Saccharomyces cerevisiae S288C: one gene and its partners. Changing the gene in region 1 together with any one later gene gives a genetic interaction. Each region holds a gene or a part of one and is shown on either strand. Other genes may lie near its edges.

Evidence for each region.
Region 2: mutations in RIM21 (region 1) and ELF1 together harm fitness more than expected from each alone (negative genetic interaction), as found in Saccharomyces cerevisiae (3 studies listed by BioGRID).
Region 3: mutations in RIM21 (region 1) and HDA1 together harm fitness more than expected from each alone (negative genetic interaction), as found in Saccharomyces cerevisiae (3 studies listed by BioGRID, with this or other methods).

Annotation. Positions count from the first base shown.
Region 1 is NC_001146.8:78,159-82,039, reverse strand, and holds RIM21 (Rim21p), read left to right. Parts: upstream 1-1,779; coding exon 1,780-3,381; downstream 3,382-3,881. Other genes in the region: Rab GTPase-activating protein MSB3, read right to left, coding at 1-1,400; MRX6 (Mrx6p), read right to left, coding at 3,520-3,881. UniProt on the Saccharomyces cerevisiae protein: Required for the proteolytic cleavage of the transcription factor RIM101 in response to alkaline ambient pH. Required for growth at alkaline pH.
Region 2 is NC_001143.9:151,643-154,287, forward strand, and holds ELF1 (Elf1p), read left to right. Parts: upstream 1-1,626; coding exon 1,627-2,064; downstream 2,065-2,645. Other genes in the region: RCN1 (Rcn1p), read right to left, coding at 2,174-2,645. UniProt on the Saccharomyces cerevisiae protein: Transcription elongation factor implicated in the maintenance of proper chromatin structure in actively transcribed regions.
Region 3 is NC_001146.8:591,243-595,928, forward strand, and holds HDA1 (histone deacetylase HDA1), read left to right. Parts: upstream 1-1,984; coding exon 1,985-4,105; downstream 4,106-4,686. Other genes in the region: rRNA (cytosine-C5-)-methyltransferase RCM1, read right to left, coding at 185-1,657; serine/threonine protein kinase ARK1, read right to left, coding at 4,381-4,686. UniProt on the Saccharomyces cerevisiae protein: Responsible for the deacetylation of lysine residues on the N-terminal part of the core histones (H2A, H2B, H3 and H4).

The DNA.
Region 1 (3,881 bases):
ACAGCCAACGAAACTTTGAATAGAAAATGTGATTCCTCGTAAAACAGACAATCCCATATTCTAAGCGTGGTCTCTATCGGCACTACACCGACAAAGCAACTCATGAACCAGCTCGCCGTGCACAAAGTAATGGGCGGAAGTCTGTACAAGAACTCATTCTTTTGCATATTGAATAAAACTTTTTTATTTGACGGAGAAAAAGTTTTGTTATTTTTTTGGTGGTGGTCAATGGAAGGCTTAATGTACGACCAAACTTCTGGAATATATTCTTTGACACATAGCATCAGTACCCCTTGGTCGATGTTAACACCTTCTAGATTGATATTATGCACCCCCGGTAGGTATCTTGAAGTAATAATCACTAGCATCCAAAAGGCCCTTTCCTCGTCTAAAAATAACAATAGCAAGCCTGCAAGAAAGTTCATAGATTGACAATAGCCAATCTTCGGATTGTAGAGAGAGAACGCAACAAGCACCCGGCGTAAAGATTTTATAATCGGAGGTCCCTCTTTGTTATGCAAGCTACTTTGGAAATGTATATTGTCCGGAAATGTTCTATTCAAGTCACGTTCAATAATATCCAAGTCTTGAACTTGTTTTTCATTAGGGTTTTGTTTCTTGATCTGCTTCATCTTTCGTAAAAGTTGTGAATAGACGCCTTTATTCTTGTTTAACTTCTCTTGCCCTCTAGCGAAATGCCACCATGCATTTCCTCTCCATTCCGCTGGAATGCCCTTTCTGACATACCTTTTTAACCGTTCACTCTTTGATGGAAATCGTGAAGGAGAATCATCGGTCACTGGCAACCCACTTTTCTCCAACAGCAATTGCCATTTGTGCTTACGGCGAACGCAGTACTGCGAATATTCTACCCACCACTTATCGTATTCTGCTTCAGATATGTAATTATTCTGTTTTTTGAAACCGTATCGATCAAAATGGGTATTGTTGATTCCATTGGAATTCGCACTTGTGGCACTAGCGGCACCCTCCAATTCTACACGCTGACGGTTGTCATCATCAGGAACCAAATCGAGGTCATCACTGTGCACTTCCTCCAGATCTTCGTTACCATTATCGCCATTATTATCATCATCATCCTCTCCTTCGGCACGTTGGGATTCCACTTCGTCTCCATACAGGTCAATAACGCTTAAATTCCCATCATGTTCAGAGGGGGATGCTTGGCCCAAACAACTTGGTTCCACAGAGCGATGATCATTCGCTCTAAAGCTTCCGTTCACCAGAGCTGAGTCGCTAGAACTATGATCTGAATGCATTTTATCATGAAAGTTAGGAACAGACGGTGATTTCACCGTAAATGCCCCTCCTAGCCTTTTGTATGGATGCGCCAGTACCGTCCTATTTTGCAGGGAGAACCTCTGTTGATCGTTCTGCATGCTAATTACAATGGTTCTGGGTGCGCAACTCTTTGACTCCTACAAAGCTTCTAGATGTCCCTTTAGCTATTTTTAGCTACTTTCTTTCTACGTGACATAAACGAGGTTTGATCCTGTTAATTCTGATACTGCCCGAACAGAAAAATAGCAGCTATTGAAAGAGAAGATGGAACCCGTTGTATCGGCGAGTAAAGATAAGTACTTTAGAAGAGCAACCCACATCGTTTAGTTACAAGAAAGACAAAAGACTGGTACTACAGATTCGGTGTCCTTTACCTGTTTTCTTCTTTCCTGTGCGCACTTAATCAGTCATTTTAGACTATCGTTTTTAGTAGCACATAAGGAGGAAGACACTCGATGAATAGTCGATTCTGCAAACATGAACTTGTGGAGACATAGTCCAGAAGAATTGGCTGCTTACAATAGCTGTCATCCAATGAAGCTAGGTTCAGGGGTGCTGATACAATTGCCTCTTTATGACAATTCGGCAGTATATGCAGAAGATATTACTTTTAGGAGTTTCTGCTGTGAAAGAGTGCCCGTTTATGTATCTACGGTGCTAAGAAACTCTTCCCCATATAGGTATCTTGATGAGGTGATCAATGACTGGCAAAAATTCATTCAAGTAAGCGATTATGTCGGCGGTTCTGCTGAGTATGCGATTTATGCTGTGATTTTGTCGATAACTTCTAATTTTGTCATCACAGTGTTCCTGACTGTGATATGCTGTATAAATATCAGCGGGCGCGCATATAAGAGAATTCTACAACTACTGAGGATAGCCTCGTTGTTAGCCTCGTTGAACTTAACGATTTTTATCACGAAGGTGTTGCGGAGATTGGAAAAAGAGCACAATGTCTATGGTGTCGTTCGGGCTCATTCCATTATGCACATCTTTTCCGATGATATGACATTTGTTGTCTTGGATTTCTTGGCTACTTTAATGTTCCAATTTTGCCAAGTCGGCATTGTCATTAGGCTATTTCAAAGAGCTCAGGAAAAGAGAATAATTTTTTTTATTGGGGTGATATTAACAATAACCGCAAATATTTTATGGGTAATTCCACCGTTTGCTAACCATACTACAAAACACAGAAATGACTGGCAGATTCTGCGGCCATTTGTTTACCTTTTCCGTATTGCCATCGCCACGTCATATGCATCAATCGTCATTTATCACATCTGGCAGAAAAAAAAATTGTGGTTTAAATTCAATCAAATGGGTTTACTTACGCTATTGACTATTCTTGTGGTGCTTCTATTACCGGGTTTCTTCCTTGCCGATGTGTCGAACTTATGGATATCGGAACTGGGTGAAGTGTTTAACACGACATGCTATGTCACTTCGACCGTGATCACATGGGAGTGGCTGGATAGATTAAATGTTTTGGAAAGAAAAGAGGAAGCGCAAAGCATTTTGGGAAGACCTATCTTCGAGGAAGAGCAACAAGACTATCGGTTTGCCAAGTACGCCTTAAGGGTTCAAAACGCTTTAACCAGGAGGGAATCTCAGGACGCATCAACGGATCGGCACGATACGTCAAGTAATTCGGAAGTATGTGATTTACAGACCATATCACGCTACGACCCAGAAGATCAGATATCAGTGGGCAGAAGCATTGATCGAATGCATTTCAATGATAGGGGAACTTATAAAGATGTAGCGCTGAAGAAATTAGGCTATGCGCGTGATAAAATTTTATACTTTACAGACCAAATCGTCCAGAAAAGCGTAGGCCACAATAATAGCAGCAGCTCGAAAAATGAAAAAACCAAACAGAGAAAGGCCATGGTCAGGAAACGGTTGGGATTAGACAAACCAGGCATATACATTTATTCGACAAAGGATGTCGTTTTCAATTCAGATGAAGATGACGATGAGAACGCGGAAGATGAAGATGACGATGAATATGAAGTTGGCAGTGAAGGCAATAACAATAGCTCTGCCACTTTTACCAGCGACCATATAGGCCATATTTGAAGGACACAGCAGAAACAGTATTACAACAAACCTACATATTTATATATTCCATGCATGCTCAAGATGCATATGCATAATATTTACACGAATTGCGAATATGTCACATAATAGAGCAGTGGATAAGTACTCAATGCAAAATCACTCATAGTAGTCCCATTCTTCAAATGCAGTTTCCAATAATTGTGTATTCAAATTAGTGGGATACCTCGTATACCTCACGCCGCTCCTAGTAACAACATACTTGTCATTGAAGCTGACTTGAACGTCCTTATGTATAGTCCTCCCCCAAAAGGTATTGTGCCTCTTGGTGTATCTTAACCAATGCATTCTCTTGAAATTATGAATCGGACTTGGTTGAATAATACAATCTACGCCATCTTGGAAAAAATATGTGGATGGTACTTCATCTGATAACCGCACTATGATTTTTTCAATATACGCCTTGATTTTGTTTTCAAATTTCTTAGAGTCTCTGGAATTTGTTAAAGTTGACAATATCG
Region 2 (2,645 bases), on another chromosome or scaffold:
TTCATTAACATTCTTCCAAGTTTTGCAATATTTGCAAGTATTACTATCAGACTTTAGTTGAAGTGACTATGCTATTACCAAATTTCACTGGAGCCAGAAAAATAAAGATCACTTAGAGACAAAGAAAAGTAACATCTTCAACATAAGCCGGAGCTCAAAAGTAGGAAATCGGATAAGAAACTTGATTCTGTTATTTCAAGTGATTTTTTGCTGTATCGCCCACGTTCTTGTTGTAGATGTTTTGTAGATGTGGGACCGAAAGTAAGTGAACAGTGAAGTAAACAGAATAGGATTCTAAAAAAGAGCTTATAAACTGTTCTTTAAAATTTTTTCTTTCGTGAATGTCCTCGAGCTATCTCAAAGAAAACGAAATCTTCATTCAACTTAAGTGTAGGTATTATTTGCTGTTTCATCAAATGCGGCACCAAAGTGGAAGTATTCTAGTCAGTTAGTTTTTCATTGTGAGGAATTGATATGTCGTTCTCTGATAGAACCACGCTAAGTTGGTGTTCAATTTTTTGCAATTCGGTAGTAATTATGCCTTGCAACATGTTTTATTCTTTTATAGTGTGATACCGTCAATATGATGATTTGCGGTGGAGCATGCATGTGCTTACTAGAAGTGCTGCTCTGGTGGGCATTTTAGGGACAAGAATAAATTCTTCTCTCCACTATCTGAACTTCCGTTATTCTTCTGCACGTAATTGCCGTTTTTAGGATTTTTTGGAGTTGTCACGGTATAGATATGTCTTATTGCGTGATTTCACGGTGTCTTGCACACAACATTTCCAGGTCACAATATTTGGTTCGAGGTTCCCAGCAAGAATTCATTATCCTTTTCAATGTGTCGCATTAAATCATTATCCAAAAACAAAAGAACTTAAGAAGTACAAAAGACACTTGAAGTATGCTAGCGTAAGAAATACGGTAACCAATATTTATATGTAACATGCTTATTCTGTCATGATTTCACAGTTCAAACTACATTCCTATTCAAAATCATCGCGTTAGTGAGACAAAATCGGTGGGAGAGATGTTAGACAAAAAGATGACAACATTGGAAATAAACCACGACGAAAAATACCTTTGAAAGGATCTTTTTTCGATTTTCCTGTGAATTTGTAGGCTTTTGATGGTACGAGGGTAAACCAAACTGGACGGGAAATCACCATTATTAGTCCTATGTAGAGCCTCGTCACCATACCTATATAAACATAACTATTCTTTTAAGTACTTAAACGGCTTTTTTCTGAAACAAATAGCCAATGTTTTCATAACGAAGATTCCAAAGTTACTTAACGCTCTTCAGGCACTTCCTTATTTATTATGACACGTACAAAATAATAAATTCGTAGTTATAAGATTATCTTATCATATTTAAAATATCTCTTCTTTCAGTTGAAATTGGGCCCAAAATTTTTACCCCATAGCGTTAAAATTAAACAAAAACTGCTATTTCGGTGACAAATTGTAAAAATTCTGAAAACGGAAGAAACAAAAACGTTTAAAATGATTAAACTTTGGTAAAGCAATAATCTACAAATAATTGGAAAAGGAATAGTAATAAAGATGGGGAGAATTATGAAGAAGAATGTCATAAAAAACACTGAAAACAATTAACGAGCCATGGGTAAAAGAAAGAAGTCAACAAGAAAGCCTACCAAGAGACTGGTCCAAAAATTAGATACGAAATTCAATTGTTTATTTTGTAATCATGAAAAATCAGTTTCATGCACTCTGGACAAAAAAAATAGTATAGGAACTTTATCGTGCAAGATTTGTGGGCAGTCGTTCCAAACGCGCATAAATTCATTATCACAGCCTGTTGATGTATATAGTGATTGGTTTGACGCCGTCGAAGAAGTCAATTCTGGCCGTGGAAGTGACACAGATGATGGTGACGAAGGTTCTGATAGTGATTACGAAAGTGATTCAGAGCAAGATGCTAAAACGCAAAATGATGGCGAAATAGATTCTGATGAAGAGGAGGTAGACTCGGACGAGGAGAGGATAGGCCAAGTTAAAAGAGGCAGAGGCGCCTTGGTAGATAGTGACGATGAATAATCCGGTCCTGAGAAAAAACCATATTTACTTAGGTCATATATATTTTATATTTTAAAGCAACCACCCGTAAGCATTTAAGTCTCTTAAGCCAACAAATCGCCTCGCCATCTTAATCATCGTCATCAGTATCGAATATAGATTTTGGTGGGAAAGCGGTTTTAACGTGGTCCGCTAATTGCATCTGTCCATTTCCATCGTTCGTGGGACATCTATCAATGGTAATTGCGCCCACCTTTGATTTCAATAACGTGAAAGTACCATTGTTATTTTTGTCTGGATTATTAGGCAATAGTTGGCTAGCTTCCAACCGCTGCTGCTGGTCCTGTTGTATATGACTTTGTATATGCCTTTGTGGCGCATCCTCACATTTGCTGAAATCGAATTCGGGAGGTGGTGATGCTGGGGGCGATATCAGGAACATTTTTTCACTCTCTGGTACCTTCAAGTATTGTTTAGTTAAATTCCTTTGTCCGTCTTGCAAGGAGTAGCTGAAGTTAAAATTTTCCATTTCTAAAGCACGAGACGCATCCATAACATGCTGAGATATATCATGACTGGGGCAGATCAACAGTATTCTTTTA
Region 3 (4,686 bases), 510 kb from region 1:
GAACTTTTATATTTACGACCTTTTCACAGAGCTCATCGATAATTTTTATAATAGTATATTACCCGAAAATCTTCCTTTATGTGCGGGATGTATAGATTATTGAAATGTCTTTTCCGTAGTACTACAGCAAAAATGCAATAATACATATCAGATATACACATATATACATGAATGTTCTGAAAGTTTAATCTCTTTCAAAACAGACAGCAAAGAAACCAATACCACCGTCACTTTTTGGTAGTGCCCTGATACAACCCTCGGCAAGCTGTTGAGGGTCATAGGTGACTCCATCTCTAAAAACCTCTTCGAACTCTTCTACCTTGCCTCTTCTAGGCCAAGAAGGAATAACTTCTCTTTTTGGCGCTACTTTCCAACCCCATTCTCTAACTGACTTATCTAAAAGAAGGTCTATGACGACTCGTTCATTTTCTTCCGCATGAATGGAACATGTGCTGTATACTATTTTTTTAGCCGCTGGGAAACTCATTGCATGCTTTACCATCTGGAACTGAAATGAACTCAGCTTCGCTAACCTTGTCTGTAGTTCTTCCTTTGCTATAAACTCCTCTTGCTCATCCGGCACAATGCCACCATCGTCATCTTTATCATCAATTTTCCTTCTATTAAATGAGTCAAAAAACTTACGACCAAATATACCGCTACCGGAGCAGCTCGGATCTACAATAAAACAAGTAACGTCCTTATATTTTTCAGGAGTAGCGAGCTTTGTAAAATCACCTACATTGACACTGATGTTGGGAGAACAGCCAGCTATCTTGATCATTTTTTGTAAAACTTTTGCTCTTTCAGGATCCTTCTCGAAAGCGTATATTCGAGTATTATTGTCCTTCGGTGGTTCGGGATATATATAAGAGGCCGTATGGGTAGTCTTATTACCTGGAGCAGAGCAGGAATCTATCACAATATCACTTGGTCCTGGATTCAAAATGTGGGCTGGAAAACAAGAAGCACGATCTTGAATGATAATCTTCCCATGCTTATAAAGCTCATGTGCTGTAATTTTGTCAGACGGATGAATTCCAAACAAGTTTGGAATAAACTCATCATAATAGATAGACCCAGGAACTAGTTCAGACCATTTGTCTACCTTTAAAGTAAACTTCTTCCTCAATTCGGCTAACACCGGCTCAGTCTCACCATTTGGATGGCATTTTAATGGATTGATTCTAATCCATCTAACAGGAGGAAGGTCATTGGAAATATCCTCGCTTAATACCAACTCAGATAGCTCTCTTACTTTCAATTTGAGTTTCAATTTGACCATTTCGCTATGCAATGGGCTCTTAAACTTCAAAACATAATCTTTGATGGGGTGTTTGCCCATTTGAATTCTTTTCTGCTTAGACAACAGCAAATCATGGCAAAGCAATAACAAAGTTAGCCTTGAAAAGAGTGGTTTGCCCTTTTTCTTGGGTATATCTTCCAATATGTGTGCCTTTTTCATCACTTTCTCCAAATATGGTTTATATTTCCAACACGAATCGAGAACTGCATAAATATGTTTTGGATTACTTTTCAGCTTATATCTTTTACAGCTTTTCAGTACCAGCGTCTGCATAGAGCCGGAAATCCTTTCTTTTGCAGCCTCCTTCTCAATATCTTCTAGCACCCATGTTGCATCCCTGTAGAAATTCATGCTTTTTCGTAGCTAACTTCTCAGTGAAACACTTGGTGAAGAACCAGCTCTTCTCTTAACCTCATCGAATATTTTAGGCCAGTTTTTTTTTTCCTCACTTGCCATTTTCCCGCACCGTTTGGAAATCTCGAGGAAAATGCTTCTTTCCAAAAGTTTAATCAGGTCACTAATTAGGTAAATAGAGCTGGGAGGAAGCATATACAGTGTTTCGTCTGTGGAAGGAACTTTTATTTTTCTTAAATGTTTTAATTTTTAGTGACCTAATTCACATAACAAAATATTGAGAAAGGGAAAGTTGAGCACTGTAATACGCCGAACAGATTAAGCATGGATTCTGTAATGGTTAAGAAAGAAGTACTGGAAAATCCAGACCATGATTTAAAAAGAAAGCTAGAAGAGAACAAAGAAGAAGAGAATAGCCTCTCTACTACTTCTAAAAGTAAAAGGCAGGTTATTGTTCCCGTTTGCATGCCAAAAATCCATTATTCACCGCTGAAAACTGGTCTTTGCTATGACGTTAGAATGAGGTATCATGCAAAGATTTTCACATCGTACTTCGAGTACATTGATCCACATCCAGAGGACCCAAGAAGAATATATCGTATTTATAAAATACTAGCAGAGAATGGTCTGATTAACGACCCCACTTTAAGCGGCGTGGATGACCTTGGTGATTTAATGCTGAAGATACCTGTAAGAGCCGCAACCTCCGAAGAAATCTTGGAAGTTCATACAAAGGAACATTTAGAGTTTATTGAAAGCACAGAAAAAATGAGCCGAGAAGAGTTATTAAAAGAGACTGAAAAAGGTGATTCCGTATATTTCAATAATGATTCTTACGCGAGTGCTAGGCTGCCTTGTGGTGGCGCCATTGAAGCATGCAAGGCGGTTGTCGAGGGGCGTGTAAAAAACTCTCTAGCTGTCGTAAGACCACCTGGCCATCATGCAGAGCCTCAAGCTGCGGGTGGTTTTTGTCTCTTCAGTAATGTTGCTGTTGCTGCCAAGAATATCTTAAAGAACTACCCAGAAAGTGTAAGAAGGATAATGATTTTAGATTGGGATATTCATCATGGTAATGGCACACAAAAGTCATTCTATCAAGACGATCAGGTGCTATATGTGTCATTACACAGATTTGAAATGGGTAAATACTATCCTGGGACCATCCAAGGACAATATGATCAAACTGGTGAGGGTAAGGGTGAAGGATTCAATTGTAATATTACTTGGCCGGTCGGCGGTGTTGGTGATGCAGAATATATGTGGGCATTTGAACAGGTAGTTATGCCTATGGGGAGAGAATTCAAGCCTGACTTGGTGATTATTTCTTCAGGGTTTGATGCCGCGGATGGTGATACTATCGGACAATGTCATGTCACCCCAAGTTGTTATGGACACATGACACATATGTTAAAATCTCTAGCTAGAGGTAATCTTTGTGTAGTTTTGGAAGGTGGATATAACTTGGATGCGATTGCAAGAAGCGCTTTGAGTGTAGCAAAAGTACTAATAGGGGAGCCTCCTGATGAACTACCTGATCCATTAAGTGATCCCAAGCCTGAGGTCATAGAAATGATAGACAAAGTAATTCGGTTACAGTCCAAGTATTGGAACTGTTTTAGAAGGAGACATGCTAACTCCGGTTGTAATTTTAACGAACCTATTAACGACTCGATAATATCTAAAAATTTTCCTCTGCAGAAGGCTATTCGTCAACAACAGCAACACTATTTAAGCGACGAATTTAATTTCGTTACTTTACCGTTAGTAAGCATGGATTTACCAGATAATACAGTGCTATGTACTCCAAACATTTCCGAATCTAACACTATAATTATAGTCGTTCATGATACTTCTGATATCTGGGCAAAGAGAAATGTTATTTCAGGTACAATTGACTTATCCTCATCAGTTATCATTGATAATTCTCTAGACTTTATCAAATGGGGACTTGACAGGAAATACGGCATCATTGATGTAAATATACCTCTAACTCTGTTTGAACCTGACAATTACTCAGGAATGATTACATCCCAAGAAGTTCTAATATATTTATGGGATAACTACATCAAGTATTTTCCTTCTGTTGCCAAAATTGCTTTTATTGGAATAGGAGACTCATACTCAGGTATCGTACATCTGCTTGGTCACAGGGATACTAGGGCTGTTACTAAAACGGTAATTAATTTCTTGGGAGACAAGCAGTTAAAGCCACTAGTTCCTCTAGTAGATGAAACATTGAGTGAATGGTACTTCAAAAACTCACTTATATTTTCAAACAATAGCCACCAATGCTGGAAAGAAAATGAAAGCAGAAAACCAAGAAAAAAATTCGGTAGAGTTTTGAGATGTGATACGGACGGGTTAAACAATATAATTGAAGAAAGATTTGAAGAGGCTACAGACTTTATACTGGATTCGTTTGAAGAATGGAGTGATGAAGAATGAGGAAAAACTGGCCATTAATAATTTTTTTTCGGCAACCTTCATGCCTTATGAAAGTTGAATAATAATAAAGTTGTTACAATGTTCATTGTATAATCCAATATATCTAAAATAGGAAAAAGAAATGAACAAATGCATTAAGCTGTGTTTTACTAAGTATTATGGGAAAACGTATACATTAAAGTGGATGCTTACATATATAACACATTGTAATAAAGGTTCTTTGAACATGTTACCAGCCTCTTCAGAGATCGATCCGGTTCTGTTGAGCCAAATACTCACTTATCCAAGGATAACTTTCGTCCCGCGAGGAGCAGTGGTTTTGGAGGAGGTTTAGGCTTTAAATGTGAAGGCTTAGGTGGTGGGGTAGGTTTTGTTTTTTTGTCTTTTGAAATCGGGCCACTTGATTTCAGCATTGTTGGCTTATCTATCTCCCCTTTCTCATGCAGCTTGACCTTGGACATTTTCCTAGCGTTGAATGACTCCTCAGAAGAGTTGAGTTTATCGATCATACGCTGTTGAATGGAGTTCTTCAAATTCTGCTTAGATACGTCCAAATCTTCATAAGATGGTTTGTTAAGATC